2 linked regions of the Elephas maximus indicus genome follow. Each later gene encodes a partner of the first gene's protein in a complex. Links are inferred from orthologs where the notes say so. Each region holds a gene or a part of one and is shown in the gene's direction. Other genes may lie near its edges.

Region 1 (15,313 bases):
ATTATTTCCTGCGAGAAGGGTGGGGGTGACCTCACCCCCGTGTCTGAGCACGAGGAATGTCCTTGGGCAGAAAACTGCGTAATATTGCACAGGAGCCAAGCTCTCCCCTGGGTGCTGTCCCCCACAGCCTCCCTGCCTACAGTCCCCTTCCCCATCAACACCCCCACAAACCAGCTGCTCCTGGCTTCAGATCTGGGTGTCACGGTCCCGTGCACACCCTGCCTCCCACCGGAATCCCCACCTACCCTCTCCACAGCTGCCCATTTGTCAAGGTCTAGGTCACCGGCACTGTCTCCCTGAGGCCTTGTCTGCCTCCTGCTGGAGGGGGCCTCTCCCTGCTGAGCTTCTGCAACACTTGTTCTCTCTCCCCTCCTCAGCCCAGTCCCCATCTGAGCCTTCCCCAACCTCACCCACTGAAAGGTGATCCTAATGAATCAGGAAGACTGAATTGATGCCTTTGAATTGACCTGTTGGCAGAGAATATTGAATATGCCACGGACTGCCAAAAGAATGAGCAAATCTGTCTTGGAAGAAACACAACCAGAACGCTCATCAGAAGCGAGGATGGCGAGACTACGTCTCACATGCTTTGGACACGTTATCAGGGGGATCAGTCCCTGGCGAAGGACATCTTGCTTCATAAAGTAGAGGGCCAGTGAAACAGAGGAGGAACCCCAATGAGATGGACTGACACAGTGGCTGCAACAACGGGCTCAAGCGTAGCGCAGACCGTGAGGACGGCGCAGGGCCGGGCAGTGTTTTGTTCTGTCGCGCATGGGGTCACTGTGAGTCGACACCAGCTCAACAGCACCTAACAACAACAACAATAACTGCAAGGAGTCCTGACGGCACACTGGTTACGAGCTCGCCTGCTAACCAAAAGGTCAGCAGTTTGAAGCCACCAGCTGCTCCTTAGAAACCCTAAGAGGCAGGTCTACTCTGTCCTACAGGGTGGCTATCAGTTGGAATTGACTCGACGGCTACGGTTTGGTTTTCTTGTGGAGGCACAGACTACAGTTGGCAGAGCCTGGGGGGCTGAACCTGGTGGTGGGGATGGAGAAAGGGGGACACTTGGGAGGCAGTGCCTGGAGCAGGGAGAGCTTGTGAGCAGGAGGGGTGAGGCTGGGAGAGGAGGGACAGTCAGAGGGGAGGTGTGGGTGGTGGAGACTGCAGAGCCTAGAAGCAACGGCCTTTGGAGAGAGCAATGGGAATGCTGCTGCAGGGGCGGGTGGCGTCACCAGGCACAGGTGAGGGCAGGAGGCAGCACTGCAAGGGCGGGCGGGGTCACAGGGCACAGGTGAGGGCAGGAGGCAGCGAGTACAGATGGTGGTTAGAGAAGCCCCCACTCACGGACAGAGGGGAGAGAGAATGCAGGGGAGGGAAGATGTTTGTTTTTGAAAAGGGGAAGCTTGCTCCTGCTTACTGGGGCGGGGGGGGGTGGAGCTGGAGGAGGGGGAGTGGCTGAGCTTCCCAGGCCCGCACGAGGAGTCCCTGCAGGGAAGAGGACCTGGGGGAGGGGAGTGAGTCAGTGCGAGAGAGAGCGTGAGCCTGGAAGAAGAAGGGCTGCATGGAGCCAGAGATCTGAGTGCGAGTCCTGGCTTGGCTGCTGCTAGCTGCTGACTGTTTTCTCACTCCTGTTCTGAGCTGTGGGTGGTTTGGAATACTTGGGGGTGTCAGGATGGGCCTTGAGGCTTCCATTTGGCTTGAAGTTAATAAATGCTGTCTTGCCCCTCCAGCCTTCCCACCCCCTCAGGGCCAAGGAGATGTGCTTCCCTGAGGCGCAAACCCCCCTCCTGGATAGGACCTAGGGCCTCAAGCCCCCAAGCAGCACAGAGCCCACGTCCAGGCTGTGTGGGCACCTCCCCCATGGACAGTCTTCGGGGCACTGGGTCTGGGTGGTCCAGGGCCGGGTCCTCTCCCCTGCCATGCCCAGCCTGTCTGAGAGTTCTGAGGGGCTTGGTCATCAGGTGTTGTGAAGGTAGGAAGGTCGGGCCGGAGGACAGATGAAGCAGCTGTTCAACTGCTTGGTGGCTTGATGTATAACTCTTCAATGGTATACACGTGGGTCTCCGTTCCTACTGTCGCCCTGGAGTCTGAGTGCCTGGAAGGCTGGTGAGGAGCCTGCAGAGGGAGCCTGCTTCCTTCCCCAGCCCTGAGGTGGCCAACTCATCCCAGGTTGCCGGGGACTTTCCCAGTTTTAATAATAAAAGTCCCAGGAACCCCCTCAGTTCTGGGCAAATATGATTGTGGGTCACCCTAATAATTAGCCCACCACTTCCCTTGAAAGTATAAAAGAGGAGTGGGAGGCATGAGAAAGAGAGCCAGCCTTAGGAGTACTTTCCCTTCATCTCAAACCTGGCAGGAGACAGACAGCAAAAGACCTTGTGGACTTATAATCAAGTCTCGTTATTCACTGTTGTTATGGGCTCTAAAAACCCCAAAAGACCCAAACCTGTTGCTATGGAGTCAATTCCCACTCACAACGACCCTATAGGACAGAGTAGAATTGCCCCGTAGGGTTTCCAAGGCTGTAAATCTCCACAGAAGCAGACTGTCACATCTTTCTCCCACGGAGCAGCTGGTGGGTCCAACTGCTGACCTTTGGGACAGCAGCCGAGCGCTTAACCACTGCGCCAACAGGGCTCCTTGAGATGGGCTATAAAGTCCCTGCAAATACAGTATACAGGCCACGTTGCTCATGTGCAGACCTTTGAATGACCTTAAAGCCCCCCCCCGCCCCGCCAGGATTTTATCGACTAGACAAGATGGAGAATACGGGATCCCTGCCTAATAACGAGGCTCGACAGCATGTCCCCTGGAGCTGGGGTGAGGGGCTGGGGGACAACGCATGTGTCTGGTTTGCTCCATGCCTGATAAAGCAAAGGCCAAGGTCAGGCTGCAGCTGCCTGGTCGGCAGTGGAGAAGGACAGGTGACTACCCTGGGCTGAGCTGCCCGTCCGGGAGTGTGGGCAAAGGCTCGTGTTTCCCAGGGATCAGGCTCAGTCCCGAGAAACATCCAACGTGCCCATAAAGAGCTCCTGAGAGAATGAATCAACAGTTGGAATCTGCCAAAACCCACAAGGGTCCCAGTGCCTGGTCACTGGTGACAGTCCTTCCTCTCCCCAGGTGCAGCCAGGCTGGAGGGGTAGGTGGGGCGGGATGCAGAGACAGAGCCCAGGTGGGGCTGTCCCTACCCCCACTGCAGAGGGAGAAGTTGTGACTTCGAATAAACTTGAGAATTTTGATCCTGTGCTGAGAATGTTAGGACTAGACGTGACCCAAGGATGTCACCACACCTGAGAGGGCCACAGAGGTTAGGGCACCTGGCCAGGTATTCACCCGGCGGGGGGAGGAAAGCGCGGGCCCGGTTTAAGGGTCTAAAGTACAGGGAGAGGCTGAAGCTATTTCCTTCCTTAGCCCTGTGGAGTCCTGGGCGTTCAGCTAAGTGCCTGGGCCTCAGTAAAAGCCAGGTACGTGTGATCTTTAGTGGGTCAAAGTCACTGAGGACCTGCCCCTCGGTAGGTCCAACGGACAGGTCTCCAGCCTCATCTTACTCTGTCCCCCCATCTTCCCTCACTTTGCCCCCCCTTGCCCTCATGGTTCTCCTCACCTCCCTGCACCCTGTGCGTCTGAGGTCCCAGGGCTCAGAGCCTGAACCTCTTTCTTCATGTTTGCTCCTCCGGGCGCATGGCCTTACATGCTGTCATACACTGGGCATTCCTAAATTTCCCCGCGCAGCCCTCTTCCCTGGTCCCCAGACCCTGCCCACACCACTCCTCCACCGAGAGGTCCCATAGAATCCAAACAAGGTCAAGGTGGGATTCATATCCCACCCCCACTATGCCCCACCACCTTCCCTCCCCTGGTCTCTCTTTTCATCCACTTAACACATCTAATCTTGGCGAATGGCCGTCCTGGCCTTCCAGGAGCTCAGGCCAAAGGCTGAGTCATCTGTACTCCTCCTTCTCTCAGCCTGGATGCTGCTCTCTGTGTCCTCCCCTCCCTCGGAGAGAGAAATGTAAGGGATGGATGACCACCATGGGAGAAGAGGGGGAAGTGGGGCGACTTCTGTGCAGGTGCTGGGCTCATGTTACCACAAATTTACACTAAAGCAGCACTTGAAAGCATGAGGAGTGTGTTTTCAACTTTATCACACTTTGGGTTCACATCAGCACTGAGAGATAAGAAGTTGAGCAGATGTCATCACCCCCTTTTTATGAATGAGGAAACTGAGGCTTGGAGAGGTGAAGCCCAGCCTGCGTCCCCTGCACCCACAGAAACTGTGACCTGCCACCAAATAAGCCGCCCAGCGTCCACTGCTGTGGACAGACGGTGGCCTTCCCTTACCTGCTCCTGGTGCAGGTTGCTGGGAGATGGCGTCCACTGCAGGAGAGAGAGGCCAGGGTTGTGTGTGTGTCTCCACCAAGCCTCCTTGGGAAGGATGCTCCTGGCTCGGAAGGGCCCGGGGTGCTCCGGAGCCCAGGGCACCCCTCTGACCACAGCGGTCAGATCTCGGGTCACTCCCTGCAGGCCTGCTGGGCGGGAGGGGCCCTGGTGCCCAGAATAACTCTCCAGAGTCAGCATGTTCCAGCCTGGGAGGGAAACCAAAATGTCCTTCCCACCCATGTTATGGGACTGAGACTTCATCCCTGATGGGCCTTAAGTGGACCCTAATGGAGCTCCTGTCCCCAGATATGATTAGATCGGACAGGTGCCGACCCCTCCCCGCCCCCTCCACTGTGACGGAGGAGCTAAAATCTAAGGAATGAAATGATGGTGAAGATTTCCAAACAGGAGGCCTGAGGAAAGTCTGGAGGTGGTGTGAGCTGTGACAGGCAACCTCTGGGGGAAGTGGAAGCTTAGCACGTTTTCCAGGTGCTTGTTATATTACCAAAGGGTCTAAAAATGACCAGCCCTGTGATGGTGTCATAACTCCACAGAATAAAATCATGGTCAGCCTCGTTTCTCCCTTTGCAAGCGACTTTTCTCAGAGTTCTGATCCAAGTCAGGCCACCTGGGATCTCGTTCTGATGGGCTTTGAGACCCAGGGCACAGGCTCTTCCCTCTCCAGGCCTCTGGTGGTGTCTTCACAGTTGGCACCCCAAGATTGGGTTCTGGAGGCCCCAGGGTGCCCTAGGAGCCACTCCCAGCCCCCGTTGTCCCCTGACATGAATGGATTTTTCTGCATATACAGAAATCTCCCTATCAGAGACTCAAGTTTTGCATCTCCCTCCGTGAGGATAAAGTCAGCCATTGAAAACCCTGTGCAGCACAGTTCTGCTCAGACGCACAGGGGGTCGCCATGAGTTGGCATTGACTCGACAGCAATGGGTTTTTTAGCAGAGTCGCTATGGCAAGCGATCCTGAGCTCCCTGTCCCTTGTCCCCACAGCCAATGCCTTTAGTGAGTCCTCCTGCTCTTCTTAAAGGTATCCTGAATCCAGTCCCTTCTCGCCACCTATGAGCCCCTTCCGCCACCCCTACCGAGTCCAAGCTGCTATCTTCCCTGGTTGCAGCCCTCGTGCCTATCTGCTGACCAGCCCCCTACCCTGGCTTCCCCTCTTGCCTTCCCACAGTGCTGCCCCTGCCCAGCAGCCACAGTGACTCTTTCGTGAACACATATCAGATCTTTTTATTCATTCACTGAACAAACATTTCCTGAGCACCTCTAGCCAGGAGCCCTGGTAGCGCAGTGGTTACGAGCTACGGCTGCTAGCCAAAAGGCCGGCAGTTTGAATCCACCAGCTGCTCCTTGAAAACCCTATGAGGTGGTTCTACTCTGTCCTGTAGGGTCGCTATGAGTTGGAATTGGCTCGACAGCAATGGGGACTGTGTGCCAGGCTCTGGTCTAGGCACAGAGGATACAGCAGGGGACAAAACCAACAAAAAAGGAGAAGAATAAAAGAGGAATGGTGTAGAAAGTGCTGGCAAGGGTGGGTAGTGTGTGTGTAGTTTGAATTTTTGACGGGGTTCAGGGAAGGCCTTCATGGGGAGCTGAATGAAGGAGGTGAGGGAGCGAGCCATGAGGCTAACTGAGGAGAGAGTTTCAGGCAGACAGAACGGCAAGTGAAAAAGTCCTGAGGCAGGAGTGTATTTGAGGCCAGTGGGGAGGCCATTGGCAAGCAGCAGGGTGAGGGGGGGAGGGGAGTGTGTAGCTAGGTATGAGAAGTAAACAGGGAGGGGGACCAGAGCAGGCCCTGGGGTGCCATAGTCCTTGGGCTTCTCTTCTGACAGAGATGGGAGCCTTCTTGAGCGGAGGAAGGACATGACCTGAGGGATGTAACTTGCTCACTCTGGCTGCTGTGAGATTTGGCTGAAAGGGGGCAAGTCCAGAAGTAGGAGACCTGTCAGGGGGTGAAAGGCGACTTGGTTCAGGGTAGCAGCAGTGGGGGTGTGAGAAGAGGTGGGGTTCTAGATCCGTTTTGGAAAGTGGAGCCAACAGGATGTACTGCCGGGATGGAGCACCGCTTAGAAAAACCAAACCAGCTGACTTTAAGCCAATTTCAACTCATGGCCACCCCATGCATGTTACAGCAGAACTGTGTGCTCCGTAGGGTTTTCAATGGTTGATTTTTTGACAGCAGATTGCCAGGGCTTGCTTGCAAGGTGCCTCTGGGTGGACTTGAACCTGTAACTTTTTGGTTAGCAGCCAAGCACTTTAGCCATTTGCACCCCGGGGACTCCTTTTGCTGCTTAAATCCCTACAAATGTTTCCTATCATTCTTGGGATAAACTCTCAACCCCTTTTCCCAATCTGATCTTCCCCTTCCACCTCCACCCCCAGCCTCTACACACAAGTCCAGCAGGCAGAGGCAGACCCTGCCCTCAGGCCTTCCCCTCCCCGCCATGATTTATCTACCTGAACTCCTCCCCCTTCCCAGCAGGCTGCCCCTCTTATCACCCAGGAGGTAGCTCAAACATCCCCTCCTCCAGGAAGTCTGCCCACCTCCCTGAATCAGTAGGTCCCCATCATTGTAGCCCAACAGCCTCCATTTTTCATGGAGCTCCTCACAGCCCCTTGTGGTGATCTTAAACTCATTTGCCTTTTTTTTGGCTGTGCTCCTTGCTAAGTTATAAGCCTCAGGAGGGCGGAGGCCTCCTGCCTGGACTCTGGCTTTGTAATATGGAAGACCACATGCTTTCATGAGTAATGGGTAGTGTCTCTGTGTTATCACTAGTCCTCTCAACACTCTGCAAACACGAAAAAAACCAAACCCGTTGTCATCCAGTCGATCCTGACTCAAAGGGACTCTATAGGACAGAGTAGAACTGCCCCATAGGAGCGGCTGGTGGATTTTAACTGTCGACCTTTTGGTTAGCAGCTGAGCTCTTAACCACTGCCCCAACAGGGCTCCAACACTGTGCAAGGGAGGAGGAAATAGTACTCAGAGAGGTAATATACACACCTGACCAAGGGCACTCACGATTCCAGAAAGCAGCAGAGTTGGATTTGAACTTGGACCACGGGATCCAGAGCCCTCTTCTGCCGCCCCTCCCCTCACTCCCTGCCCATTCTAGAGCGTCCCCTTCCCAGCCCCTCTCAGTCCTGAGCCTGATGCTTGGGCCTAGCGCAGAGTGGGGCACCATACCGTGAGCCCAGCGCCTGCTTGTTGAAGGAATTGAAGGTGTGGGACCCCCTGAGGTTGGAACTCTCAGACCAGGCTTTCTGGCTCCGCCAGCCTCCAAGCACGTGGAGAAGAAGGAATGGGGCCATTGCTCAGTCTCCCTGTACCCTAATCAAAGCCGAGGGCACAAACTAAGTCCAAAATTAAACCTGAAGCCCACCCCCAGCCCCAGCCCAGCCAGCTGCAGCCCCTCTCCATCAACCGCTCTGTCCCTGCCCGACTCGCGGTCGCCCCCCTCTGCCCTCCCTGGTAACCGCAGAAGTGAGAACTGGTCGCCCCGTTGGGACCTGGGGGTGGCTGTCGCTCAGGGGCGGTGGCCGCCCAGGGAAGGTGCACAGACCCGGCTTGGGGCCCCTGGCTTCCAGCCTACCGCTGCCTCGCGGTGTGCCCTTGGAGCAATCTCCCCCACCCCTGTGCCTCAGTTTCCCCATCTGTAAGAGGCGGGGTCCTTTTAGCTCTACAGGTGACACACCTGCTACCGGAACTTGCTTGGGGTGAAACCACCGGCCGAGCCCAGCGCGGAGCCGGGGTGGCTTTGGCTGGGCCCGGGCGGGGGGCAGGCGGGGCGCGGGCGGGCTCCGGGGGGCGGGCTCCGGGGGCGCGGCCGGCGGGGGGCGGGGACGCGGCGCGCTTCCGCCCGCGCCCTGCTGGGTCCCTGCCCCCCGCGTCCCGCCAGCGGCGCCGAGGGAGGCGGGAGCGCCGGAGCCGGAGGAGCCGCCTCGCCATGGGGCCCGAGTGAGCGGCGCGGGCGCGTCCGGCCGCCGGACAACATGGAGGCGGCGCCGCCCCGGCCGCCCCGGCCCCCGCCGCCGCCGCTGCTGCTGCTCCTGGCGCTGTGCTGCAGCCTGCGCCCCGCCGCGGGTAGGGGGCGCCGGCCGGGGGACACAGGGGGACAATGGCCGTGCGCCGGGGAGGGCGGGCCGCGGCCGAGCGCGCGCCGCCGCCTCGGAGCCACTTTGCAAGTTGGGGCGAGTTGGGGCGCGCGGCGGTCCCCGCTCCCCGCCGCCGGGCCGCGCGCCGGCCTTTGTCTCGCCCGCCGGGCCCTTCCCGGGGCGCCGTCCCCGTCCCGGGCCACCCCGCCAGGTGCGGCGGGCGCGTCCTCACCTGCCCGGCGCCCGGCTCGGCGTGCGGGGCCGCGCGCAGGGAGCCTGTCGGCGGGGGACAGGCCTCGCCGCCCTGGAGCGGGAACTCTCTGGCGAGCCTCTTGCCCATGGCCGCGCCGCCGGCCTGCGAGTCCCACTGGGGCTGCAGCGAGAAAGTTCTGCGACCGGCGCGGGGAGTCCTGGCCTGTTGCGCTGCCCCCTTTGACGTTGCTGTGTTTCCAAGCGGGCTGCCACCTGCCAGGTGTCCGTCCGGCCGGCCGGTGGGCCCCAAACGGTGGCGCCCGGCCCAGCTGACCGATGTCCCCCCCCCGGGGGCTGGCGGCGTGGGCCAGCCGAGCCGGGTGTCGGGTCGGTCCCATCAGAGGAACGTGCGTGTTTCTCGGTGTGCACACCTTTGGCGGGATCGAGAGTTGGGGAACTTTCTCCCCGACTTTCAGTGTGTCCCGAGGGGTGGAGTTGAGGTCAGGAGGACTCGGGAAACCTAAGCGTTGTGAAATGCCACGCATGTTCTTTTAATTTGGAGATTGCCATGTGGTTTTTGAAGCAAGGCTCCCTACCTAAATCATTCTCTTCAGACGTGCGTGTTTTGTTTTTCTGGAGTGTGGCTGACCAAGTGGACGGGCCAGCCTGTCCTGTGGCGCTGGGTTCCCCCCTCCTGGTGGGGGCAGTTGCAGAGTGTGGGGGAGCCCGGGTCCCTTTGTCTGGGCCTCCGTCAGGCACACAGCTGTCCCGGAATATCTCCAGTGTGGACATTTGCAGGGAGGGTCCCGGCCTGGCTTTGCCGGTGGCATTCCCAGCCTGGGCCCCACCACTGAGTCTGTGTCATTCAGAAGCGCAGAAAGCTTGGGGCCCCTTTTCTCAAGCCTTCCTAGAGGTTCTGTGGGCCATTTCCCCCCAAATTTGCCTCTCTCAGGAGAGTGTTTACATTTCCTGGCCCGGTCTGGAGCTAGTAAACCAAGGTGAAGACAAAACAATGAGGTATCTGCGTTGCGCAGGCCATCCCGGCGCCTTTTCTTGCCGGAAATGCCTGGATCATGCAGGCAAAAGGGGTTTTTGGGAAGATGTTTGTTTTAAAGGTGGGGCTTCTAAGGCATCGCTCTTGCGTCTCACCTCCTGGCAGTTCGGGATTTCCTGTACCTTTTGGGGTCCTGTTGTGGAGTATGAATGCCTGTCGCCTGGGCGATTTGAGCCCCCCAAGGAAAGAATCACCATCTGTGGAGCTGAGTCCTATGTGAAGCAAAAATAGGGTTGATGGTTTTAACATCAGGAGGCTTGTCCGGAGGGGTTTAGGAAGCCCAGGAGCCCCGGCGCGTGTGGAGATACAACCCTGAAATGGAAAGAAATGAGAAGGAGGGGTATTTTCTGTAGAACCGCTTTGGCTGTTCGTGATATGCCCTGCCTCTGGGCTGTCACCTCAGACCTCTGCCTGGGTCTCAAGTAAAGCCAGCAAGCCAGTAGCTAATTGTTTTTCCTGATTGCTTCCTGCTGCAATTCGAAGCTGTGAGCCCATGTAGGTGCCTTTGTTCTGGGGGCCCTGGTGCGGGGAGGGGCGTTACCGCCTCAGACGCCCCGTCTCCTCCTCTGGCCCCACCTGCCTGGCCAGGTTCCTTCCCCCTGCCCCAGGGGGTTTCTGCAGGTGGGCATGCTCCCTGATGGAGGGCGGGTTCAAGGCACACTCCTGGCAGGCCCAGCCAGCGTTGGTTGGGTAAATTCAATGCTGTGTGGAGCCCACTGAGAGGGTCTCCTCCAGAGGACCCTCTGTTTTTCAGAGCCAGGCCATATGGGTTCCACCGTTCTGATCAAATCCAGGAAGGTATCCGGCCAGCCCCTGGGCACCACACTTATTCACCTCCTCTCAGTCGAGACTCACCCTGGTCCCTGTCACATGTGGAAGCTGTTTAATTCCCTGTCACTGCTCAGGCATGTAGCCGGATTTGCACTCGGCGGGGGCGGGGTGGGGGGGCGGGGGGGTGGGGTACGCAAGGGAGGACTCAGCATCGATTTCTGCCCTGGAGCTGCGGAGCCGCTGGACTTTGAGGTCGGACAAACGGGTTCGTGGGCCCAGGCTGCTGCTCAGTAGCCGACTGACTTTGGGCGCCTTACTTAGCTTGTCTATGTCTGACGTCTTTATCTGGTCCGCTCCTTTCCCAGGCGCTGGGAGGTTTAAATGGGGGGTGGAAGCCCTTAGCAGCCCCCCAGGCCCAGGCGAGGGACTGTTGTGTACTAGGGTCCTTGATCTTCCTGGCCTGCAAGGTCTAGAAGCTGCTATTCTGCAGTCTGGATTTCCATTCTGCCCACGACCTTAGCTTTCTAGTCCGCTGATGGACTCGTTTATTCCCTAAATGATACAGGGCCACCACAACACCGCGTGATTGGAGTGGGGTGGTTGACAGTGCAGATGGAGCTGAGTGCCTCCAGTCTGATCCCTGCCCTGCCACTTCACTTTTCCGTGCCTCGGTTTTCTCTTCTGTAAAATGGAGATAACAAGTCTTCCAACCACCAAGTCAGTGAGTTAACACATGCCTGGCTCTGTGTTAGCTGTTCTCGTTGCTGTTACTCTTTGATGCCTGGTATTGTGCCAAGTGGTGGGGATAGGCTGGGTCATGATGGCGATGAAGGCCTGGGCCCTGCTGTCTGGGCTACCAGCGTAGAGTCAGCTAGAGCTCACTTTAGCTAGGAGAGGGGCAGGCCCAGGGGGCACCAAGGACTGGATGTGGGCCAGATGTGATCGAAGCCCCAGAAAACTTTAGTCAGAGTTTGGGAATGCAGGCTGGAGTCAGGTGTGTCAAGGTGAAGGGTTTGGATCCATCTTGGTTGGCTATTTCTCCCAGCAAGTATAAGCTGGGAGCCAAAACATCCTAGGAGCTGGGCATGGGATCCGTGTTAAGCTGGGCTGTGATGCAGTTGAACTTGGTGTTGGATTCTCCCTGGGCAGCTCAGCAACATGGCAGCGACCGAGAGGGGAAGTGAGACAGGGGCCCGCTAGAAGGCCAGGGCTGGCCTCCCAGGAGGAGGGGCAGGGTGAGTCGGTGCGTTTCACTGTTACAGAACCCCTGACAGCAGCGGGACATCTGTGGTCTGCGAGGTCTTGTGGACGACTCCTTCACACGCTCTCACAGTGGAGCCTGTGTGTCCAGCTCCTTCGCCTTATGGGTCTGTTTGCCCATTTGCTCAGAAAGCAACGGCATGTCTGCTTTCGTGGCGTGTCTGCTCTGTGATGTGTCTGCTCCATGCTGTGTGTGCTTTGTGGCATGTCTGCTCCGTGGCATGTCCACTCCTCAGCAGACCCCCTCTGGGGGTAGTGTGTTGCCAGCGCTGGTGTACAGAGGTAGCTAGGGATCCTACAAAGAGGGACCCCCGCCCCCACCGCCCAGGGCCCCACCAGCTGGCTGGAACCTGGTCTCTGCTCTCTCTTCAGCTCTGGAGCCTGTTTACTTACTCCCAGCCTCAGTTTCCTCATCTGTAAAGTGGGGATGGTGGTGTTCACCTAGCAGGGCGCCTGTTCGGGTTCAGTGGGGTCATTGTGGGAAAAGCCAAGAGGTCCTGCCCTAGGTGGCCAGCTTTCCTTTTAAAAATGCCCTTCCTGACGGAATGCCTGGGTTTGGAAGTCCCCGGACTCCTGTGTGGGAGGGGGCTTAGGTGCTTTGGGTCTGTGATTGGCACAGATTTGCCCTTGTGGGGTGGCTGGCAGCCCAGAACCCTTAAGCTGCGCAGAGGGGTGTGCGGACAAGGCCACGTGCTCGCTGATGACAGTTCGCACAAGCAGTCCCTGCCTGCAAGACCCCCTGGGAGGTTGTCATGGTAAAGTTCCCTATGAGCCCTTTTGGAGAGGTGGGGGGTATACTGTACTGTCTGTTTTTTTCCTTTGCTTTGTTGGTTGATGTTTAACTCAGTGAACACTTTTTGAGCGTCTACTTTCCTTTTAAGGAGCCCTGGTGGTGCAATGGTTAAGCGCTTGGCTGCTAACCTAAAGGTCCGCAGTTCAAACCCACCAGCTGCTCCAAGGGAGAAAAGACCTGGCGATCTGCTCTGGTGGAGTGCGGCCTAGGAAACCCTATGGGGCAATTCTACTCTGCCCTATAGCGTTGCTATGAGTTGGAATTCACGGCACCCAACAACAACTTCCCATTTGCCTTGAGGTAATTTTTCTAACGGTTAAACTGAAGCAAAGATTTGTGCAGTGGGGATCAACCAGTTACCGTCGCGTTGACCCCGACTCACGGCGTCCCCGTGTGTGTTGTCATAGCAGAATTGCGCTGCATAGCGTTTTCAGCAGCTGATTTTTCAGAAGTAGATTGCCAGGCCTTTCTTCTGAGGTCCCTCTGTGTGGATTCAAACGTCCAGCTTTTTGGCTAGCAGTCCAGTGTTTAACCATTTGGACCACCAGGGCCTCCTAATACCCTCCCCTTATCTCCTGCTCAGAGTTCAGGAAACATCCCCCATCCGGCCACAGTATCTTTATGGCCCTGAGCACTGGAATCCAACAAGCCTGGGTTCAGGCTTCAAATCTGATATAGCAGTTACCTAACCAACTGGTCCTTGACTTCATATACAAAATGAGATCAACAATGGTTTCTGTCTGTTAGCTTCACTGGGCATTTGATAAAATAATGCATAAAGTCTTTAGTGCGGGATAGGGCCCGACAAGCACGCAATAAAAGGGAAAAAGCCAGACCAGTTGTCCTCAAGTCGGCTCTGACTCCTGTCAGCCCTATGTGTGTCAGGGCAGAGGTGCTCTCCATAGGCTTCTCAGGGGCTGATTTTTTGGACGTAGATAGCCAGGCCTTTCTTCCAAGGTGCTCCTGGGTGGACTCAAACCTCAATCTTTCATTTAGCAGCCCAGCGTGTTAACCCTTTGCACCACTGAGGGACTCCTCAGTGAGGAGAGTGGTTTGCTTTTAGCCTTTTTGGGGTGTGAGGCACCCATTTGGGGATCTGCCGGAGGATCCCTCTCCCTGGAGAACGCACAGGGAGGGCGGCACACACACTACTTGGCATGCCCTGGGCTTGGAGCCCTGGGGAGGAGATGTCCAGCTCTTCATTGCCCCTCTGTGTGCCCCAGCTTCCTCGTGTGCAAAGTGAAGCCAGTGGGTCCTGATCTCTGAGGCCTTCTCTAGCATGAGGCTTATGTTTTCATCTCACTGGAGGCCTGAGGCACCTGGACCACCAGGAATGGTGGGGGATGAGTGTGTTCTTGGGGGTCATTGTTCTTAGGTGCCATCGAATCGCTTCTGACTCATAGCGACCCTGTATACCACAGAACGAAACACTGCCCAGTTCTGAAATCCTTGACAACTTCAGTCTTTTCTCCGTTTATCATGATGTTGCTCATTGGTCCAGTTGTGAGGATTTTTGTTTTCTTTATGTTGGAGTGCAATCCATCCTGAAGGCTGTGGTCTTTGATCTTCATTAGTAAGTGCTTCAAGTCCTCTTCACTTTCAGGAAGCAAGGTTGTGTCATCTGCATAACGCAGGTTGTTAATGAGTCTTCCTCCAATCCTGATGCCCCATTCTTCTTCATAAAGTTCAGCTTCTTGGATTATTTGCTCAGCATACAGATTGAATAGGTGTGGTGAAAGAATACAGCCCTGACGTACACCTTTCCTGACTTTAAACCAATCAGTATCGCCTTGTTCTGTCTGAACAACTGCCTCTTGATCTATGTACAGGTTCCTCATGAGCACAATTAAGTGTTCTGGAATTCCCATTCTTAGCAGTGTTATGCATAGTTTGTTATGATTCACACAGTCGAATGCCTTTGCATAGTCAATAAAACACAGGTAAACATCCTTCTGGTATTCTCTGCTTTCAGCCAGGATCCATATGACGTCAGCAATGATATCCCTGGTTCCACGTGCTCTTCTGAAACCGGCCTGAATTTCTGCCAGTTCCCTGTCGATATACTGCTGCAGCCGCTTTTGAATGATCTTCAGCAGAATTTTGCTTGCGTGTGATATTAATGATATTGTCCGATAATTTCTGCATTCAGTTGGATCACCTTTCTTGGGAATAGGCATAAATATGGATCTCTTCCAGTTGGTTGACCAGGTGGCTGTCCTCCAAATTTCTTGGAGGTGGTGCTTCTATATTATAACATGTATCGTTAAGTATGTTCTACCTTTTCTTTCTGATCTGTACCAAAACCATACCCATTGCCATCTAGTCGATTCTGACTCACAGTGACCCTGTAGGACAGAGTAGAACCACCCCATAGGGTTCCCAAGGAACGGCTGGTGGATTTGAACTGCTGACCTTTTGGTTAACAGCCAAAGCTCTTAACCACTGTGCCACCAGGGCTCCTTCTCATCTATAGCGAGTCCTTTCTCCTTTTTCGGGTGATGGTACAGTATCATAAAGACATTAAAAATGCTCATGTAGTCACAACTGATGGTCTTTTCCATTATGACTTACGGGTTTCACACCCTTTTCTCCTACACTGAGATTATAAGTACATTCTCTTTTATTTTCTTCCAGGAGTGTTACTGTCTTGTGTTTTATGTTCAGACATCACGATGGCTGCATTTCTTTTGCATATAGGGTATGAGGCAGGGATCCGAACCAATTCCCTCGCCCTCTGGCCAGTGGAT
Region 2 (14,274 bases), on another chromosome or scaffold:
CCAGACTGAGTCCAGTACAACTAGATGGTGCCCTGCTACCACCACTGATTGCTCTGACAGGTATCACAATAGAGGGTCCCGGACAGAGCTGGAGAAAAATGTAGAACAAAATTCTAACTCAAAAAGGAAGACCAGACTTGCTGGCCTGACAGAGACTGGAGAAACCCTGAGAGTATGGCCCCCGGACACCCTTTCAGATCAGTAATGAGGCCACTCCTGAGGTTCACGCTTTAGGGAAAGATTGAACAGGCCCATGGAACCAAACAAGACTAAAGGGGTGCACCAGCCATGGGGCAGGGACTGGAAGCTAGGAGGGAACAAGTAAGGTGGTAATAGGAAATCCAGGGTTGAGAAGGGAGAGTGTTGAGATGTCATGGTATTGTTAACCAACATCATACAACAATGTGCGTACTAGTTGATGCGAAACTAGTTTGTTCTGTAAACCTTCATCTAAAGTTCAATTAAAAAAAACAAAGAGGAACTAACCTTTGCTTTTAGAGTATCTTCTTATTTAGGTGTACATCTGGTTCCAACTCAGTTAAAGAAGACAAGAGACTGGGGTCTTCAGTCCAGCTAAAACCGATCTTGGACCAGCTCAGGCCCGCCTGAACTGCACAGTACTGACCACCTTGCCCCTCAGATGACTTACTGATGCTAGAGGCTGAAAAACACACCCGTGTCTATGCCCTGGGGACCCCAGACCCGATTTACTTTATCCATATAAACCCCTTGTGCTACTGTTCTGGGAGACCCCTTGGTGACCCGAGTCCCATTGTGCTCCTTTCCTTGACCAGCTAAATAAAGTTGCTTCTTTTGCTTTCAGTATATATATATATATATATATATATATATATATATATATATATATATATATATATATTTAGCACATACCTGTCCTTTGGTGATTTTATCTATATAACGAAAAAAGAAAGAAAAAACAATACTGAAAAAATTAAGAACAGCACAAAATGATACATAATAGGTGCTAGCTAAGTCCAGGGTTGTTTCAGGATAATTTTTTCTAAGGATAAATGTTAAATCATTATAAAGAAAAAAAAAAAAAGCAAAAGAAAAGAAAAATTGCCACTACTTATTCCACACAGGTACAACTAGAGGTAATATTTTGATGAATTTCCTTCCCATCTTCTTTCTATGCATCAAAACCAAGAAACACCAAACCTGCTGTCATCGAGTCCACTCTGACTCCTAGTGACCTCAGAGGACAGAGTAGAACTGCCCTGGGTGGTTTCCAAGGAGCACCTGCTGAATTCGAACTGCCGACCTTTTGGTTAGCAGCTGTAGCTCTTAACCACTGTGCCATCAGGACTCCTTCTATGCTTATCTATCAGTATATTTGGGCCTAAACCATATAGCTCTATAATCTGCTGTTTTTCAATTAACAACATACTGTGAACGTCTTATAGACAAGGGTTTTCACACTGTGCCGCACCAGAATGTGTTTTGAGAAAGCTTGCAGGGAGTTCACGGAGAAAATTTACACACGGATTGAGATTTTGTATGCCTTTGTAAGTTAAAAAAGTTTCACATTGTAAATATATGTTGAGATACTATTTCAAAAACTCAGCAACCATTGATACAACAGTATTTCCTTATTTTAGCCTTTTTAAGTATTGTTATACTATAAATTATACTTATAATAGAGTAAGCTATCAGGTCAACCCTATACAAGCACATTTGCTTCTAAGAGCAAGCAAGACTCAGACCAGAAAAAAAAAAAAAATCAAGTGTTATCACCTCTAGAAAAAAAAAAAATGACATCCATTTAACATAAACTTATCAAAGATAAACACAAAATAGAAAGAAATGCCATTGTAGTCTCTACCACCTCCAAGCCCTTAATCCTAATAATTACTATGGGTGCTATCAATGTAAAGTTTATTATTTCCGACCACCATTTAAAATGGATCATTGCTACCAGCTATAAAGTCTTCCCTAGATCAACATTTTTTAAATACAAAGGTTATTTCATATCCATAAGCAGTTTTAAAAAAATTTTTAAAGCAGTTTAGAGATGGAATTAAACAGTTTCCCTTGCATTATACCTAATTTTATCGACAGAAAAAAAAATTACCTGGTATAGGACGTAACAACAACAAAAATCTCCAAAACTGTACCAGTGTTTTTAGTGAAGCCTCCAAAAGAAGCATGAAAAAGCTTATCAAAAAAGAACAAAGAGTTATACTAACAAATGTATATTTATACATTAAAAATAAAACAAGTAGTAAACTGTTTGACATTTATTGCTCACTAACTGCACAGAGAACTGGAGTGTGTGAGCTTAATAAGGAAGAAAACAGAAGTGTATATGTCCGGGTTTCTTTGCTCCACCGTGTCGCCGTGGAGTCTACCCTGACCCGTGGGGACCCCTTGTGCGTCAGAGTAGGACTGTTCCAGAAGGTTTTCAGTAGATGATTTTTCAGAAGTAGCTCACCAGGCCTTTCTTCGGAGGCACCGCTGGGTGGACGTGAACCTCCAAACTCGAAGTTAGCAGCTGAGTGCATTAACCAACCACTCCTACCACCCAGGGTTTCCTCTTTGGGTCTAGAACATACATAACTCATAATTAACCGTGGACAAAATACACTGGAAGACTAAGCTTGCTGCCTAAATGATATTACTGAAGAGTTCGTTTCTTTCAGAATAGTAACGTATCGTTGACGTTGCTGATCACCTGCTCAGCAACGTTGCCCTCCTCCTCCGCTTTCTTCTCACCGACTGCCCCCCAGACACTGGGATCTCACTCTCGCAGCCTCCTTTGCAGCAGACCAAGGCGCCATAGGGGACGTTAGCTCGGGTCTGCTGGGAAATGTTCTCTTTCCAACAGGAGGAGAGCAGCACGGGGGTCAGTCCTGTCTCCCTTCCTGCCTTGATTGCCGTTCTGTGAAATGTGATGATTTGGTGGTGGAGGCTGTGTGTAACCAAAAGGAGAGCCAAGACTCACCAAGACAGCAGCCTGAAAGCCTAACACCACTGAGTCACAAAATAAACCAACGGTGGGACTTCCTGGTTCTAGATTTCTTATTATTTGAGATTAATTAAATGTCCTTCTTGGATAAGCCAGTTTTACTTTGGAGGTCTTTATTGCACCTGAGGGTCCCTCGGTGGTGTAATCGTGTAATGCGTTTGGCTGCTAACCAAATGGTCGGAGGTTCAAGTCTACCCGGAGGCATGTTGGAAGAAAGGCCTGGGGATTCACTTCTGAAAAATCAGCCAGTGAAAACCCTGTGGAGCACAGTTCCACTCTGACACACGTGGGGTCACCCTGAGTCAGAATCAGCTCAAAGGCGACCGGTGTTTTACTGCACCTAAAAGCTCCCAGTGGTGCCAGTAACCCATTGCCGCTGAGTCGGTGCTGACTCATAGTGACCCTATAGGACAGAGTAGAACTGCCCATGGGGTGTCCAAGGAATGGATGGTGGATTCGAACTGCCAACCTTTTGGTTAGCAGCCAAGCTCTTAACCACTGCCAGTAATCCAACGTGAACTGGAAAAAAAAAAAAAAGAATAAAAGAGATAAATGGTTGATTTTTAAAACATAACCAGTACCAGTTGCCTTTGTGTAGATTCGGTCTCATAGAAACCGCATGAATGTCCGAGTAGAACTGCTCTCCACAGGGTTTTCAGTGGCTGGTGTTCTGGAAGTAGATCTCTAGGCCTTTCTTCCAAAGCTTTCCAAGTGGACTGGAACTGCCAAGCCTTCAGCTAGCTGCTAAACACATTAACCAATTGTACCTCCCAGGGACTCCTTTAAAATATAGTTTACAATAATTATAACGTTAAGTAATGACAGCCAGTGCCGTTACCATTTTCTAAAATGACTTCTGCGTGTAAAGATTCCTAACCAATGGCGTATATTGTCCTCAGTTATCTTCATCCATTGGCAACTTGGCCTTGTAACAGCAGACACAATGACAGAGTACTCCTTTCCGATTGGATTCTTTTCCTGGTTGCAAAGAAAATAGTTAAAAGTAGAAGACCTTTCATAAATTTTAATGTCCATATAGAATAATATATAAATTATCTCACCCATTTTAAATCTAGTAGAGATTAGAGTAAGACCAGTTGATCTCTAACTTCCCTTCCATCTGTGGAGTGAGACTCAAGACTCAATTCTTAAAAACCAAAAAATTAAAATGCCATGAAACCCCAATATTATAGAGTTTTATATTCCCGAACAATGTAGTGTTTGATTGTTTCCCTGAAAGGAAAAATGCTTTTAGGAGAAAACTTTGGTATTTTATGTAACACCAGAGAAATTTCACTAGTTACTGAAGAATTCTCCACTTAATCATTGCCATTTTATTGTTGTATGTTAGACCCTCACTTGCATAGGAATTTTTATATTGGATTTTTAAACTATAATCCACTAAAAAACAATTTCCTGTTTCTTAAATTTGAGAAATATAGTATACTGATAATCTCCTATCTAACTTGGTATCGAATATCATGTAAAACATTACCCTGCTCTGTGGCAGATTCTGGCCTTCAACTGCCTGTATAATGCTTATAGGCTATTTAGTAACAAGACATCTGTTCAGAAACCCCTCTAGAAACTTTCCTACGTTATTTATGTAACTCTCCAAAAAAAAAAAAAAAAAAAAGCTGCTTTACATACAAAAGAAAAAAAAAAAAACAACATTAACCCAGAAGGTCAAAAATGACTGATTTGTTAACTGACCCATTACTGTCTTTTATACACTAATTGGCTTCTTAAGTCTCGCTCTTCTGCTCTGGAAAATGGGTAAGCAGTAATTTAATAGTAACTCTAAATGCTATTTTTATGTTCTCTGAATTAAAAGTAAACATTTCGCGATTTTTATGTGAATGATTTTAATCTCACAAATCAGTAAGTTTCCCTAAATAGCTTATAGCATGAATTTTTAAAACCCTGAACTTCTGTCTACTTAATTTTTTTCCTGCAAGCTTAACATACTTACCAAAAATTTCCACATTCCACATCATCTAAGCTTTCATCTTGTCTCAAAATAAAAAAGCCAGAAAAAAAAAATTAAATGCCAGTTAAGATCCAAAATCAACTTTCAGCCTCAATTTTCAAATGTCAAAATTTGTTTTTACCTAATTCTAGTAAATTTATATAGCGTCATTCTAGACCTCACTATTTGGCATTTCCAGGCTGAAGAAAAGCAGTAGAAACTTTTTAACACCTCTGTTGCTTTTGGAAACTGGCCCCTCCCATCTGCAGCCTCCAGGCCGGTCGTTAAAAGGGTGCTTTGCGTTCACCACTGCACCTCAGAGCAGAATTTTGACTCTGGGAGTTACCTGTTCCCAGGAGCTGAATGTTCTGCAGAATGGCTGACTTTGAACAACGTAGCAGGATAGGGGTTAGGTGACTTTTTGAATTCAACATACCACGAATGGAGATAGAGAGTCAGAGGCGGGGGTGGGGGATGGGGGGTGAAGCCATGGAAAGACCAAGTAAAGGTGTCGTCTTTGCATTTTTTAATAGACTCTATTTTCTTCTACTGAATCAGCTAATATATCTGAAGCTGTTGAATTTCTTTTTAAGGAGTTTGGTTTTTCCAAAACAAAAGTGGGAAGGAAGTGTTGTTTTTCAGTATCAAGAGATTCTAACCAGACTTCAATTTTTAAAAGATGGTGGAATACAGGTACATCCTGGTGAATATACCTAGAATTCTCGGCGAAAACGCAGAACTTGCCAAAACGCGGGGGGGCGGGGGGAGGCGGGAAGGTAGGAGGTGTTTCTGCCTGTCTCCTTAGAATGTGGTGCGTAGTGAGGCTGCTAAACCAAGCTACAGAAACAGAAGGAAGAAGAGAGACTCCATTAGCTCAAGCAATATACAAAAACTGCTAGTTTTTCTGTTTGTTTTGTGACAAAAGTTGGTTTTAAACAGATAACCACAAAAAACCACAACCCACCCCAAAATCTGAATTGGTCTCAAATGCACCTTGAATTCGTCTTTGTCCTCCCACCCTCAACAACTTTTGTCCCCTTGCCCTACTTGCTCCAGATATGAAACCTGACAAATAGAAAAAATTTAGAAACAAAAAGAGAGAGAGAGACTGTATTTTGCCACCCTCCTGGCTAACCGAAATGCTTGTTCCTGAGATTACAGTAATTACAGCCCCAGCGTGAGTTCCATACAAGCGCTAAATGAAACAGCACATCAATTAAAAAATAAACACTCCATTCTAGGAGAAAGACAACCCCCTGGGACGTCCTAACAAGCGTAAATGAACCTGCCAGGCCGCCTGCCCCTCCGCCCCCCCACCACCCGATTCTTAAGGTGGTTGGTGGAGTGGCTGGGGCAGCGCTAATTGGCAGCGTCACAAGCGGCAGCTGAAAGAAGCTCTGGCCCCGCCCCTGCTCTGGAAGACCAAGGTTACGTGTCGGCGCCAGGGGCGCAGCCCCGCCTCGAAGGCGCCAGGGCTGTATCAGACCGTAGAAAAGGAGGCTTTGGCGAAAACAGGTGAACTTTGGAGAGATGTATATACGCTCCAGAAGTACAAGAGGAAAATATAGGATCCAGCGGCAGAGTTTTCAGCCTCTCCTATTTATAAGCTTTTTTTTTTTTTTTCTTAAAGGAGAATTCGTTCTCGTAAGGAAGAACTGTGTCCTGGATGCTTTATATATTTTATGTCACCTAATTATCCCTTTTGAGATCTGGACCGCGATCACCCCCATTTTGCAGGGAAGGAAACAAGTTCAGAGATGATAAATACCTTCCCCAAGGTCACCCAGCGGGAAGGTGGCAGGCGAACCCCTACCACCACCTGTGCCAGACCCTGCGCCCCTGCTCTGCGGCTGCCTCTGGCCGGCAGACCACTGCAGCTGGGGTCACGGCCCTCACCTAATCCAGCTCCACCATTCAGAATACACTGACTTGCTGACTCTCCCCACGTTTCCAAGCCTCAAAGACCAACTTCTGAGAACCCTAAAGAGGGCACCCCTTTCCGGATCCCCCAGAGTGCACTCAATAGGGGCTAGCCCCGCCCACCCAGCCTTCTCACACCCACCTGCAGAGGGCTCCGCTCCTCCCCCGGCTCACCAAGGGGCGCGGAACCCCTGCTGCCGGCCAGCCACCCCACATTCGGGGAAGTAAAGTGGATTGAGGGGCTTTACTGATCTGAAATCGGTCTGGGGAGACGCGCGCTGCCTATAATCACGTCCCAGTCCCCCAGGTGCAGATTCAGGAAAATGGGACCAAGACCTCAGGAGTGCCTAGGGGCAAGCATGACAAACTTCAAGCCAGGAGCAGCGAGGGGATTCGTGCGCTCCCGGGGAGGCTGCGCTGACTCTCCGTTTCTGCGGTCAATCCCAAGGTTATCAATACCGAATCTCCATCACCAGAAAGCGCAAATTTACGGCCAGACACTGCGGACGGCCTTAAGGAAGGTTGAGTCTTGGGAGCGCGTAGACTCCGCCCCGTCGCCCGATGATTGGCTGCCCCTTCCAGGGGCGGAGACTGAGTCCGCTCCGTATAAATATTCATGAGTCCGGCAGCTCTGCTCGAGCTGGGGCTGGAGACTGGGAAGTTGGGCAAAGGGCGCTGCTCCCGCCGAGGAGGTGGTGGCGCCGGCGGCTCCAGCCAGACACCGATCAGCTCAGGTGTTTTCGCGTTGCCTTTTGGTCTGGATTTTTGTTTTTTGTTTTAGCAAGGAGAAAACTGCCTGCAACTCGCTCGATTACTTGCCGTAGCACGGCGCGGACTTTTACCCGGAGGCGGGATTTGTCTGTCCCGGCTGGCGGACGGACTGACGGACCCCGGGGCTAAGAGGCAGCGGCCTCGGCGGAGGGGAGTTCTCCTCCAAACTCGGGGAGCCGGCGGCGGCTGTGGGAGCAGGAATGTACCCCCTCGGGGACAGAGCGGGCTGGAGAGGTTGACCCCGGACTCGAGGAGTGCGCCTGGCTCAGCCATCTTGACTGCATCACGGGGGTTGGAGAGGAAACTTGCTGCTCCGCCACCTTCTGTGCTCAGCAAAGTCGCCGCCAGCCCGGGAGTCGCGGCGGAAAAGTGGCCGCGGCGCGGAGGGAGAGGGAAAACGCAAGTGCAGGAAGATGAGCCTGAGGCCAGCAACTCTCCTCCGCGCGAGCTGAAATCGGACCAAAATAAGCAGGCGAAAGACCCGAGGGGGTCTGTCGTGCTAGCCTGCAGCCCACCCCCTAATTTCCCCGGAACCGCTGTGCGATCCGAGGAGGAGGGAGCGCGGCACTGCGCTTTCTGCCCGGCTCCCCGGAGTGGCCGGTCAAGCGGCGGAAGGGAGGTTTGGACGGATTCCTGCCCAGCCTTCCGGACCGCGCTGCTGGAACTCTGCCCCTGAGAAGGGGCTCGGCTTTCCGCAGACTCCCCTCCCCAGGAGAGGGAGGCCGGCAGGACAGAGAGGCCCCGGGTACCCGGGTTTCTTCCTCTCCTCTCTGGTTTCCCGGCGCCCCTCCCCGCGCCTCCAGGCCCGGGCCCCGGGACGCGCGCCTCGTGGAGGGGCGAGGACACGGCGGCGGCGTGCGGGGCTGAGGCGCCCAGCATGGAGTGGAGTTACCTGTTGGAAGTGACCTCGCTGCTGGCCGCCTTCGCGCTGTTGCAGCGCTCGAGCGGCGCGGCGGCCGCCTCGGCCAAAGAGCTGGCGTGCCAGGAGATCACGGTGCCCCTGTGCAAGGGCATCGGCTACAACTATACCTACATGCCCAACCAGTTCAACCACGACACGCAGGACGAGGCGGGCCTGGAGGTGCACCAGTTCTGGCCACTGGTAGAGATCCAGTGCTCGCCCGACCTCAAGTTCTTCCTGTGCAGCATGTACACGCCCATCTGCCTGGAAGACTACAAAAAGCCGCTGCCGCCCTGCCGCTCGGTGTGCGAGCGCGCCAAGGCCGGCTGCGCGCCGCTCATGCGCCAGTACGGCTTCGCCTGGCCCGACCGCATGCGCTGCGACCGGCTGCCGGAGCAGGGCAACCCCGACACGCTATGCATGGACTACAACCGCACCGACCTCACCACGGCCGCGCCCAGCCCGCCGCGCCGCCACCCGCCGCCGCCGCTGCCCGGCGAGCAGCCGCCCACGGGCAGCGGCCACAGCCGCTCGTCGGGGGCCAGGCCCCCTCACCGCGGCGGCAAGAGCGGCGGCGGCGGCGGGGGGGACACGGCGGCGCCCCCCGCGCGCGGCGGCGGCGGCGGGAAGGCGCGGCCCCCTGGTGGCGGCTCGGCGCCCTGCGAGCCGGGCTGCCAGTGCCGCGCTCCCATGGTGAGCGTGTCCAGTGAGCGGCATCCACTGTACAACCGCGTCAAGACGGGCCAGATCGCCAACTGCGCGCTGCCCTGTCACAACCCGTTCTTCAGCCAGGACGAGCGAGCCTTCACCGTCTTCTGGATCGGCCTGTGGTCCGTGCTCTGCTTCGTGTCCACCTTCGCCACCGTCTCCACCTTCCTCATTGACATGGAGCGTTTCAAGTACCCGGAGCGGCCCATCATCTTCCTCTCGGCCTGCTACCTCTTCGTGTCGGTAGGCTACCTGGTGCGCCTAGTGGCAGGCCACGAGAAGGTGGCGTGCAGCGGCGGCGCGCCCGGCCCTGGCGGCGCGGGACCTGCGGGCGGTGCGGCGGCGGCGGCGGGCGCGGGCGCAGCGGGAGCGGGCGCGGGCGGCCCGGGCGGGCGCGGCGAGTACGAGGAACTGGGCGCCGTGGAGCAGCACGTGCGCTACGAGACCACGGGCCCGGCCCTGTGTACTGTCGTCTTCCTGCTGGTCTACTTCTTCGGCATGGCCAGCTCCATCTGGTGGGTGATCCTGTCGCTCACGTGGTTCCTGGCGGCCGGCATGAAGTGGGGCAACGAGGCCATCGCCGGCTACTCGCAGTACTTCCACCTGGCCGCGTGGCTCGTGCCCAGCGTCAAGTCCATCGCCGTGCTGGCGCTCAGCTCGGTGGACGGGGACCCGGTGGCGGGCATCTGCTACGTGGGCAACCAGAGCCTCGACAACCTGCGCGGCTTCGTGCTGGCACCGCTGGTCATCTACCTCTTCATCGGCACCATGTTTCTGCTGGCGGGCTTCGTGTCGCTCTTCCGCATCCGCTCGGTCATCAAGCAGCAGGGCGGGCCCACCAAGACGCACAAGCTGGAGAAGCTCATGATCCGCCTGGGCCTCTTCACCGTGCTCTACACCGTGCCCGCCGCCGTCGTGGTCGCCTGCCTCTTCTACGAGCAGCACAACCGCCCGCGCTGGGAGGCTACGCACAACTGCCCGTGCCTGCGGGACCTGCAGCCCGACCAGGCCCGTCGGCCTGACTACGCCGTGTTCATGCTGAAGTACTTCATGTGCCTCGTGGTGGGCATCACCTCGGGCGTGTGGGTCTGGTCTGGCAAGACGCTCGAGTCCTGGCGCGCCCTGTGCACCCGCTGCTGCTGGGCCAGCAAGGGCGCCGCGGCGGGCGGGAGCGCGGGCTCCGCGGCCGTGGGGGGAGTCAGCGGGGTGGGCGGGGGCGGTGCGGGGCCCGGCGGGGGCGGGGGACCGGGCGGCGGCGGGGGCTCCCTCTACAGCGACGTCAGCACCGGCCTGACGTGGAGGTCTGGCACGGCCAGCTCCGTGTCTTACCCCAAGCAGATGCCATTGTCCCAGGTCTGAGCGGAGGGGAGGGGGGTGGGGAGGAAGGAGGGTCGAGGAGACCTAGTACAGAGGGACTCTTGATGATCAGAGGTTCCCACCCCTTCACCGTGTTGATTGCTATTAGCATGATAATGAACTCTTAATGGTATCCATTAGCTGGGACTTAAATGACTTGCGTAGAACAAAGTACCTGGCATTGAAGCCGCCCAGACCCAGCCCCCTTTCCGGCATTGATATGCAAGGAGCTCCTAGCGCCAGGCGTTAATGTCTGTTGGCACTGGAGGGTGGCCTCTGCTGCGTTTCCAAAACCCTAGGTTTGGAGAACTCACTGGTTGCCCTTTGCTGAGCTTGAAGCAACATCAACAGATTTGACCTGAGGGACAGATCTTTCTCCCTTGACTCGCCCACATAAACTCTTAACATGTCCTAGAGGCGGGAAGACCACGACCTAACGGGATTGCAGGGTTTGGGTATTCTTAATGACCAGGCAAATGCCTTAAATAAACAAACGAGAAATGTCTTAACTATACACCCCAAGTAAATACGGGTTTCTTACATTAAAGGATGTATTTATATAATTATTTGTTAAATTGTAAAAAAAAAAAAAAAAGTGTAAAATATGTACATATCCAAAGATATACAGTCTGTACATTTTTTTTGTAAAAAGTTTAGAGGCTACCCCTGTAAGAACAAATATAAGTATTCTATTTTGTCAATAAAAAGACTTTTGATAAATGATTTAACCTTGGCCCTCTCCCCCTGCCTCTTCTAAGCTGTTAGCTTTGACGTGCTTGCTAAGAACACATCGGAGAAATGGACATTTTCTGGATTATCACTCTGTACGCTGACCCTAGGCATGGAGAAAATTACCTGTTAACTGCTAATTCTTAAGTTGTTAGCAAAGTAAATATCATTGTTGAACTGAAATCAAAACTGAGTTTTTGCACCTCCCAAAAAAAGATGGTGTTTCTAGTGGTAACTTTTTTGATCCGTGGATAACAGCTCTCATCGTAGTCTGTGTAAATGGAACTTTGGCAAGGCACTAATTCCACTTGTGCCTTGTTATTTATCCTGTGTACTCTCACTAAAGGCTTCAAAACCCCACACTGATTTCTCGCGTCCATGATTTGCAAAGCACCTGGTTATTCAGGAACTGAACACGCTGCCCAAGTGTGAAGGTTAACATTTTAAACCCATAAATCACACTTTACAGTGTAAGTCACTTGACAACCTGGTGAAGGAGCAGGCTCTTTAATGGATTAAACTAACGGGTTAACATCTTAATAACCGTCCAGGCTTGTGTATATCAAATGGGCTGCTTTTTCCACAGAAAAAGCTATTGTTCCTCTGTCAAGACTAAGCTAATTTATTTGAGCAGAAGGCTGTTGAATTAGCAGAAGAATGCTTTGGCAATTGTTGAACTTTTTACCTGTCTGTCCAGTGGCTCAGCCCATCATTCCTCTAAGAGGAGCTAAATGAATAGGGTTAATCTGTAGGGAACTTGGTCTTTTGAGTTGGAAAAACTTTGATCTTTTCTCCTCTCCAAATGTGACGTATAGTCTGCAGTTTCTTTCCCTGCTGCCTGGTTCCTCTTGTTGCAGACCAATTGGCCACCATGGAGCCTTAAAGTTCTTCAATTAAAGGGATGTGGGACTTTTAAAAGGAGAGAGAACGAGGGAGAGGGAGCAGGAGAGGAAGACTTGTAACAGTTAGTGAAGACCAGAAGCCCAAGTGCGCTCAGCCTTTTAAACAGCTTTTGCCGGCATTGTTAGCCAGCCTGCAGGCAGCTAGACATGGGTTGAAGCTTTATAGAAAAGGACTGTGAGTGCCCTACAGGTGGTCTGCTCACATAATCCCCCCATTTAAAGCGTTTTCCTTTGCTGGACAATTGCATTACAAAACTCCCTTCTTTTTCGCTCCTAATTGAACCAATGAACTATTATAAACTACAAGTTTTTCTTTAAAAAAAAAAAATCCTCAATGCCTAAATTCTATTGACTCAATTCTGGCAAGTTTTCTGAACCTAGTCTTTTAAAGCGCCGGAAGCAAAAGCTGCTTCAGGAGATATCTCTATTTTTCAGATATTTTTATTCCTTATGCTTGTTATTTTCTGACAGATTAGCAATAATTTAAAAGTAATTGGTGAGGTTGTGTGTTCATACTGAAAAGATAGCCCCAGGTTCCGTATTAACCTGTCAATCAAGATAAGAAATGGGCAGCTACCCCGCTAATGACGGAGGCATCAGTCACGGTGGGGTGGGAGGGAGGACTTGTTTTCTGCATCCTGTTAAGATGTTTGTTCTCTTTACTTTTCCTAATAGGAATCTTTAGTGGTTTAAATTTTTTTAACTTTTTTTTTCTTAACGAATGGAATGGAACTATCTTAACGAATGGAAAGGAACTATTTCCTTGACTGAGCTTATATAAGAAGCTCCTAAGAACAGTATCTTAGTAGTGATCTTTTGCAACATCTTTTCAGAGTTATTCTGAGTGTGGATTGAAATTTTAAGATTAGGTATGAAGTAAGGAACCCTGCTATGGCTCTAATGTTGATTTTATATTCAGAGGTCTTGTAAAGTCTGCACGTCTCCAGCAGTTTTATTCATCAGAGAATTGCTGTTTGCTAACTAAGGTACCAGTAGGTAGCCTGCACCTGACCTATATGGTAGGTTATGCCGTAAGCCAGCCATAAGCTTGACATTCTCAGCTCTCAAGTAAAATTTTGAGGGAAGTTTGTATAATCTTTACCACATACGTAGGAAGGGGAGAGAGCTCACTCACTTGTTAGCATGTTGGTTTTCCAATGGAACAGTATTCTCTTTACTGACATATTTTCAACTTTCTGACCCAGTGAGAAATGTTCAACTTGGAAACTTTTTTCCTTTATGGACTCTTTACTATGTCCTTGGAAAATGCCATGTTTGATAACGTTTACAAGACGGCTCTGAAGTGTGGTAAATATAATCAAGCTTTTAAACAAACAGGAAACCCTATTTACATACTGAGGGCAATTCTCAAAAGACAGCCCACATACACAAGCCGGCTCTGAACCTCACCGGAGAGTGATATTGACACACAAGCCCTGAGTGTTTGTGTTAAAACCAGAACTCCAGTTACAAAGCTGTCAATACCTAAATGGTGTCTGTTAATGGCATCAAAACCCAAACTGATTTTGGTGATGGGAAAAAGGCGGAAAGGGTCTCTGGCCATTTGCGTCAAACAAATGGGTTCCTTGCCAGCGCACCGCTTTACTTTGTGCTATGCATGTGTGCCCTCAATCACTATGTGAAACAAGTGTTAGTTTTTGACAATGCTGTCGAATATGGGGATGGAGGTGTGGGGTTCCTGTGTGGCCAGAAGATCCATGTAGATAAAGCCAGCTATGGATGAAACCGCTAGAAAAGCCAGAAGCTCATTAAAATCGCTGTGGGAGAAGTTATGTGCGACCCTTTCTTTGTCCTTTATAATAAACGCAATATGAAAGTACCATAAAACAGAAGGGGAAAAAGTTGATGAGAAAGTTTAAGGGGCAAACCATGTTGCCTTACAGTTTGGTGATGTACCTTGAACTTGCCGTAGGTTGCTATACTGCCAAGTTTTGGGGGAGAGAACTCAGGTTGTCTTGACAGAAGAAAAATCACAGAGACTCAAGGAGTTACAAAGCAAGGGCTGCAGTTG

What was found.
Region 2: LRP5 (region 1) and FZD8 share a complex: the UniProt entries of both Homo sapiens proteins name them as parts of the wnt-signaling complex. The link is inferred for Elephas maximus indicus from reciprocal best matches to the Homo sapiens genes LRP5 and FZD8.

The regions. Positions count from the first base shown.
Region 1 is NC_064825.1:131,043,565-131,058,877, forward strand, and holds the start of LRP5 (low-density lipoprotein receptor-related protein 5), read left to right. Parts: upstream 1-8,315; 5' UTR 8,316-8,394; coding exon 8,395-8,485; intron 8,486-15,313. UniProt on the Homo sapiens protein: Acts as a coreceptor with members of the frizzled family of seven-transmembrane spanning receptors to transduce signal by Wnt proteins.
Region 2 is NC_064822.1:9,845,829-9,860,102, reverse strand, and holds FZD8 (frizzled-8), read left to right. Parts: upstream 1-8,520; 5' UTR 8,521-8,523; coding exon 8,524-10,614; 3' UTR 10,615-12,879; downstream 12,880-14,274. UniProt on the Homo sapiens protein: Receptor for Wnt proteins. Component of the Wnt-Fzd-LRP5-LRP6 complex that triggers beta-catenin signaling through inducing aggregation of receptor-ligand complexes into ribosome-sized signalosomes.